Linked DNA regions of Ovis aries. The protein of the gene in region 2 binds, or shares a complex with, the protein of the main gene of each other region. Links are inferred from orthologs where the notes say so. Each region holds a gene or a part of one and is shown on either strand. Other genes may lie near its edges.

What was found. Proteins that work in one complex are often made in the same cells at the same time.
Region 1: the proteins of GALR1 (region 2) and GAL are in contact, whole or in part, in a cryo-EM structure (PDB 7WQ3), measured with the Homo sapiens proteins. The link is inferred for Ovis aries from reciprocal best matches to the Homo sapiens genes GALR1 and GAL. Residues at the interface, in NP_001471.2 of Homo sapiens: Glu32, Gln92, Thr94, Val95, Tyr96, Leu98, Pro99, Thr100, His112, Gln174, Phe177, Arg180, Gln184, Phe186, Cys187, Trp188, Glu189, Gln190, Ile266, His267, Ala270, Phe275, Leu277, Ser281, Phe282, Arg285; in NP_057057.2 of Homo sapiens: Gly33, Trp34, Leu36, Asn37, Ser38, Gly40, Tyr41, Leu42, Leu43, Gly44, Pro45, Val48.

Annotation. Positions count from the first base shown.
Region 1 is NC_056074.1:42,492,029-42,496,030, reverse strand, and holds the start of GAL (galanin), read right to left. Parts: upstream 2,807-4,002; 5' UTR 2,623-2,806; intron 2,369-2,622; coding exon 2,288-2,368; intron 1,462-2,287; coding exon 1,407-1,461; intron 1-1,406. UniProt on the Homo sapiens protein: Endocrine hormone of the central and peripheral nervous systems that binds and activates the G protein-coupled receptors GALR1, GALR2, and GALR3.
Region 2 is NC_056076.1:2,338,476-2,341,986, reverse strand, and holds part of GALR1 (galanin receptor type 1), read left to right. Parts: intron 1-1,524; coding exon 1,525-1,842; 3' UTR 1,843-3,511. UniProt on the Homo sapiens protein: Receptor for the hormone galanin. The activity of this receptor is mediated by G proteins that inhibit adenylate cyclase activity.

The DNA.
Region 1 (4,002 bases), on a different chromosome or scaffold from region 2:
TCCCAGATGCCCTTGATAAACACATTTTCAACACGGGCTCCTCCTTTCTATGGGGCCAGAAGCACCGGAGATGAGGTGCTCTCTTGGGAGGAAGGGACTCCGGGCTGCAGAGGGCTCAGGAAAACTCGTGAGTCGGTGTCCGGCAGGCAAGGCCACTCCACCCACAGTGCCCAGACCCCTGAGGACTGGCCGCGGCTTTTGTTCTGAGACCAGAGATGCCCAGGGGACCCTGCCTGTGGCCCGCCTTGTTTTCATTTCTGTCTCTGCGTTTCTCAAAGCCCGGCTCTCAGGGACCCTGCAGATCAGATAAATAACCATGTGAAGTGGAAGAAGAGTCTGTACTTAAACTCGAGGGTTAAAAACTAAAAGCAGCTTCCCAGGATCGTTTAAATGGGGATGGCTCTTCCCAGTGACTCTGGAGAGACTGGGACAAGAGCTATTTGCTGTTTGCCTCCTTTCCTGTGGGAAAACAGGAAATAAACAGAGGAGGGGTTTCTTCAAGGCTGATGGCTGTCCCCAGTGAAACCATGCCTGCAAGTTTGAAAGTAGGGGTGGGGTGACATGGGAAGTGAAAGGTCTCCCCTCACCCCTCCTTGAGGTCAAAACCTGAAGGGGTCACTGCGGACAGAGGACGTGCAGGAAGCAGAGTGGGGGTGGGCGGCATGCAGCCTGGGGTCCGCAGCGTCCCCTTTAGCGCCTGGAGGCGAGCCACTTCCCACCTCCGCCACTTCCTGTGCCCACGGAGGAATTCCACGGCATCGAGCCGGTCACTGAGCCCCGGGGTCCATGTGCTTGCCCGTAAATGCAGCGGTCGAACTAGGACTCTCTGACGGGCGCCACTAGTCTACACTCACTGGAGTTCTGCATCCTGAACGGAGTGAAATTACTCACACCAAGTGCAGACGATGTCCCATCAAAGATAAGACCCCAAGGGTCAGCCACCCTGCGTGACGGCTCCAGGAGCAGAGTCGGAGCAGAAAGAGAGCCATCGACGCTCAGTCTTGGCACGAGCATGTTTTGGCCTCTTCAGGTCAAGGATGGACGGGAGCATTCAGGGAGAGACAGAGGGACCCGAGACAGGGCCCAGAACAGGGCCCCAAGGAGCGTCTGCCTTCCGAGACGCTCCCCCGGGGAGGCCTGAACAGGGGCTGAGGCTGGGAATCCCAGAGGAAGGCGAGGCCTCGGAAGGGCCTGGGTCAGTCCCTTCAGTTAAACCTACAGAAAAACCCACCCTGCCTCGAAGTCTCAGGGAAAACTCCCCTGTCCCTTTATCTGACTTGGAAAAGCAAGGGCTCGGAGCAATGACCGGCGACCCCAACGTTTCAGGAAGAGCAGGGTCAGCACCAGCGCCGCAGCCAGCCCGACCAGAGCAGGTTTGCCCGAGATGCCGGCCCGGTTTCACTCACGTGGTCCGAGAAGGTAGCCGGCACTGTTCAGGGTCCAGCCTCTCTTCTCCTTCACCTTAAACGGGAGGGCAGGGGTCAGAGGGCAAGCATCCTGCCTGGTACAGGCCACGATGGCTCAAAGAAGCCCCCAGCGGCAGCTTCTGCTCATATAACCCACCACGGCAGCCTGTGAAGTCAGCATCTACTTCAAATAGCCACACGGCTTCAATGACAAAGACTCGACTCTCACAGAATAAGCTGAGAGAGGCAAACTGTTGAAGCAAGAGCTTTAAATGAAATCAGAAAGACATTAAGTGAAATTCACCCAGACTTTCCAGGCAGGATACAGGAATCAGAATAATGCATGTACTTTGGGAAACTGCAAGACATTCCACACTTGCACCCCAGTAAGCTACGCTCGACAGGAGAACAGCAATGCCTGCCTTGTCCAAGAATCCCTTTAGAGCTGCAGACCACAGACTCAGAGTGCACCCACTGGCTTTAAATGATGCTGAAGACACGTGTTGCTAAAACCAGCTGGCAAACGGGGTAACTGACGCTCTACTGAACTTAACCAAATGGGGTTCACCCCTCACTGGTTTGAGGCGCTAACCGCCGGTTCGCAGGGTCCCCATTTAGTGGCCCTGGAGGATCCGAGCCCGCCACCCATCTGCTTTGAGGACTCGGGCCCCTCCCGGCGCCGCCCGCCCCCCGCCCCACTCCCCAGTTTTCCGAAGCCCCCACACCCCCTCCCACCCCGAGGCAGAATCGATGGCTCTGTTCCTGGCACAAGGCACTCACCTCACCCCCACCCCCACCCCCAGTCTGGTTCTGATGCGGTCGCCCCCTTTGCCGAGAAGGAGACTCGGCTTGGGGGGCGTTTGCCCCCGCCCTGCGCTTACCGGTGACCCGAGGCCCAGGGTGGCTGAAAGGGCCGCAGCGAGGAGCAGGGAGGCGAGCAGGAGGATGGAGCCTCTGGGCATCTGCAAGGGAAGGGGCGGTGGGCGGCGGCGCGGGGAGACCGGCCTCCTTCCCCAGGGCGCACGTCGGCCTGGGGCTCCGGACCCCCACCCCCACCCCTGCGGGTGCAGGAGGAGCAGCCAGGAGCCAGGGGCCCAGGAGAGAGCCCGGCCAGGGCGGAGGCGCCGCGCCAGCCCCGGGGGGGGTCCACCGGCAGGCGCGCACTCTGGAGAGGGGAACGAGGAGAAAGAGTGGGGTGAGCTCGGGGGCGCGGTACCTTGAGCGGGGCCCGGAGGGTCGGGGGATGTCTGCGGGTGCTGGGGTGTCTGCAGGTCCTGTGTCGGCGGGGCCGCGCGTCCGTCGAGTCGGGTGGGGCAGGGCCGGGACGCTCACCGCATGGCGCGGCCTCGGGACGCGGAGGCGGGAAGCGCAGGGCGGCCGGGCTCCCTCGACGTGTCCGCGCCGGGAGCCGCCGCCGCCGCTATTTATGCGGCGCATCCCGGAGCCGCTCGGCCGCGTCACGGGCTCCGCTCCCGCCTCCTGCGCCCTCGCCGGCCCGAGTGGGCGGGAGTGACCGGAACTCAGTCCCCGGGGGGCCTCGGAGCGCCCGCGGGGGCGGCGGGGCGCGCGGTGGTCCTGCCTTGCGAGTGGGGCTGGCGGGGATGGCGAGAAGCGCCCCCCCGCACCTGGCGGGAGAGCCCCCATCGCCGCGAATGGAGAGCCCCCAGCCCGCGGCGGAGACCCCACGCCTGTTGGCGCGACCCCCGAGCCAGGCACAGCGGCCCCTGCGCAGGGAGCTCCGCAGCCGAAAGCCCTCACTCTGAGCTGGGCGCGATCGCGGAGTCCTGGGCACCGCCGACCAGGCACCCTGTTGTAGCGGCAGGATTATGAGTTCAGCCTCGAGAACCATCCACAGGGGAAGGACAGCAGCCTGAAGCCCGCCCAGCTTCCTCCTCCCGTGCCCAGTGGCCCTCCCTACCCAGACCCCAGGCCCCTTTCCCTGGGGTGGGCTAAGTCGCTTCAGTCATGTCCGACTCTTTGCGACCCCATGGACTGTGGCCCGCCAGGCTCCTCTGTCGGTGGGATTTCCCAAGCAAGAAGACTGGATTGGGTAGCCACCCTCTTCTCCAGGGGATCTTCCCGACCCAGGGATCGAACCTGTCTCCCGCATTGGCAAGTGGGTTCTTTACCACTAGCCCCACCTGGAAGCCCCTCCTCTTTTTCTAAAAGGGGGCGGATCCGCAAGCGCACTTAGGCTGTGGGTCTGCTGGCTGGTCGGCTCTCGGCCTGAGGGCTGTGGGCGCCCCTCTCCATTCCACTGCGCTGCTGGGCGGGAAGGGGTACCTGCAGCCCTTCGGGACTAGGCAGCGCTCTTGGGAGCAGGGTCAGGTAGTGGTTGAGGCTTTAAGGGCCTGGAACCAGACCCGCCAAGGTTCCCAGAGGCGGCCAAGGGCTGGGTGGGTGGGCAGCGGACAGCAGGGTGCGGCTGCCCTGGACAGGCGGCCAGAGTCCCCTGGGAACGGGCTGTCGGTGGCTGACTGCAGGGTGCGCCTTAGCTTGGGCCAGGCCTTGCTTGCAAAGACAGCTGGGGACACACAGGCTGGGTGCCTCCAGGCTTCTGAGGAAGGAGGAAGCCATCAGGAGAAAATCTGCTCGA
Region 2 (3,511 bases):
TTGGGAGCATCATTTGGTGAATGATAAAGTTTATGTAAGTACCCATTGATATTCTTTCCTGATTTATATTGCAGTCTTAAGTCACTCATATTTCAAAGCTACAGGCAGACCAAGGAAAGGAATCTCGTTCATGGTTCTGAAAAGACCAGTAGACCTGCTAAAATAAAAGGCAGATTTTGAATGACCTTGGGTAAACACACACAAGGTAACAAACCCTCCATAGAAAGGCCGCCCTGCTGACAGTTGCCTTGCAGGGATACAGATACAGTGTGGCTCTCAGCTGTAAGCTGTCGGGGTGTGGTTCTGCCCTCAGCTCGTTACTTAGTGAAAACCTCCTGAAAGGAGCAGTGAAACAGAATATCCAGAGAGCATGCATTTTGTGCGGCACAGAAACGGCCTTCCTGCCTTAGGCAGGACAGCGGGTGTGCTCCGAGCTATCTGTAGGTGTAATTGCGTCTAGATGGTTATTGAATCATCAGGACCGCATCCCATACACTAGTGGGTAACGGTCGGATAGCAGATGATCCTTGACGTCCAGGAGCAGGGTGCTGGTCTGTTCTCTGTGTTGTGCACGCGGCAGCCTCAGTCTGGAAGCCTGCCGCCCTGGAAACCCTGCGGTCAGCTTTGTACCTGAGCTGTTTGAAGGTGTTAAGTGGACCAGGCCCACTCAGAGAATCATCACGCTGGGTCACCCCAGTCACAGGCCAGGAGGCTGAGGCCCAGGGAGGTGGCTGGCTTTTGCATGGGTCGTGGCCCCTTCTGACCATCACGTGGTCAGAGTAAACATGAGCGTAACTCCCGTCTCTGGTGCCCTGGCCGGTCGCCCTTGCTCCAACCTCGTCCTGAAGTCCGAGCACGTCCTCTCCCATCTCTGCCGGGTTCCCTGGCTTCAGCCCGCCTCTTGGACAAACGTCCTCTCCGAGTCAGTCAGCTACCCCGCGTCTCTTCTAGAAGACTTGCTATCTTAAGCCTCACGTTCTGGGGGCTGTGGGCTGTGACAATCGGGTTCTAACTCACAGGAAGTAAGAGCAAAGTCATGGCATACCATAAGGACATTCCTGCAGGGCGGGGGTCCAAGCTTCTCCTGTGAAAGGACCTGTGGGTCCACCACGGTTTCCTGGTGGCGGAGTCCGGGCTCCATGGTGTGAGGCTGGAGGGAAAATAAGCACCTTCCTTCTCTCTCTCCTTCCCCTCCACCCTGCCTGCCAGAATTCATGGATCCCAGTGGGATCACTTCTCTCCAGGGGCAAAGCCGACAGGGGACCACCCGGCCACGCTTTTAGCTCCTTTAGGGGTGTGACTGCAGAGGGAAGGTCAGCACCCAGAGCAGGTTTAGGACGCACTTGATTCTGTGAAAATGTACAGGAAATTCCCTCTGTCAGTGCATGAGCTAGGGTGCTGGGCTCCTGTCTGTTGTGACCAGCGCCTCTGCTCCTTCCCTTCTCCCCTGTTGTGACCAGCGCCTCTGCTCCTTCCCTTCTCCCCTGTTGTGACCAGCGCCTCTGCTTCCTTCCCTTCTCCTAGACCGCGCAGACGGTGCTGGTGGTGGTGGTGGTCTTCGGGATCTCCTGGTTGCCCCACCACGTCATCCATCTCTGGGCTGAGTTTGGGGTGTTCCCGCTGACCCCCGCCTCCTTCTTCTTCAGGATCACTGCCCACTGCCTGGCCTACAGCAACTCCTCCGTGAACCCCATCATTTACGCCTTTCTCTCCGAAAACTTCAGGAAGGCTTATAAGCAAGTGTTCAAGTGCCAAGCCCGCAAGGAGTCACCTCTTAATGACACTAAAGAAAATAAAAGTCGACTAGACACCCCACCATCAACCAATTGTACTCACGTGTGAAAAAAGAGTATTATTTCAAAATGTGGTATTTGGATGCACGTGGACCAGACACAGAGAAATACATTGGGGTGTTAAGCAAGGCAGTAACTTGCTGTCTTAACAACAATTCATATTATAGTGATTGAATTCCACTTGTGTTTAAAAAGTACTTTGATCTACCTGGAAAATCCCTAGGTCTCGTGAAGGCCATTTCTACACTTGATCTTAGCCAAAAGGCCGAGAAGCGATGTGAAGGCCATTTCTAAATTTTATTTCTAAATTCTATTCCATAAGCAAAAAAGAGTAATATAGTTTTATACATCTTGAGAAATGAAAGTTTCTCAAGAAACTTTATTTAAAGACTGTAAAGAGTCTATAATTGGACTCTCTAGATCTGTATTCTTTGTAGGATAAGGAAGAAGGGCCTATCAAGGTGGTCAGGAATATTTGTGATCTACATTGTTTTGAAACAGATGTAATTAGAAAACACATGCTTTTGTTCTAATTGTAAGATCAGTGGTAATGCTGAAACTATATGTGTTTCAGATACGATTGTGGACACTTGATCCTGAGTTTTATTTTTGTGGCCGTTTGTATTAAGACATATCCATCTGATGGAAATAAGCTTATTTGCACATTTGCTGCATCTGCTCCCAGCTGTAAACAGTGCATGGGGCTTCTGCAACGTGCTGTGTCCGTCTGCAGTCATGAGGTCATAAGCTTATCTCAGGCAGTCAGCAGCATGACCCTGGGGCATCCAGCCATCAGGATGTCAGTGAAAAACTACGCTGTGAACTTAGTCTTCGTTGAGATGACCAAAAAAATCAGGGAAAACCACCACCTGCGACTGTTCTCATGGTGGAAGCTGTGAATGAGTTTCTGAGAATGAAACTGGACATTAAAAGTTTACATATCGACACACACATATATGTATTTTCAGGTATTAGCTGTGCCTTGAGTGGAATCTACTCAAAAGGAGAATTTTTAAACTGTCAGTGAAAATGATGTACAGAAAATAATTTCTATGAATTCAGAATAATTTCTCTGAATTATAAGCCACATGAGACAATGGTCACGCCATGTGAGGAAAGTTAGTAAGTGTAGTGAAATGTCTGGTTCAGATAAACTCTGAAAAAATAATCTAATGGTTGGACATAGCTGGGCATATCATGTACAAACAAATGCTTTTTTCATCAAATTTGTAATGATGTCTAATGCATATTTATCCCAAACATTGATCCCTCTAGAAATGTTAATCTGGGGTTCAAATCATCATAACTTAATTTCAAATGTAGTTTTTTGTGACAGTTTCAAATTTAATAATGAGAAAATGGTATGAAAAGATGAAATGATTCTATATTAGTAAATAATTTTCAGACTGCAAGACTGATGTATTTTAGCATGATACAAAAGCAAGAAAAAATTTTTAAAAGAATTTTGTGTAATGCATACCTGAGTCATATGAGGACTTCAAGTGAAATATCAAATTTTGGATCAAAAAGATCAACTCAGTGTAAGTCTGCATGTTAGCTTCTCTAGTTTGTGAATTTATTTTACTAACTATATTCTTCCAGCTAACCGTATTTACATTTACCAAGTTATAAATAGTTCTCTGGACAGAAGAGGAGAAAATTGTCAGAGGATGGAAAATCATGACTTTTCATGTTTGATGGCCAGGGAAAAATTGTAC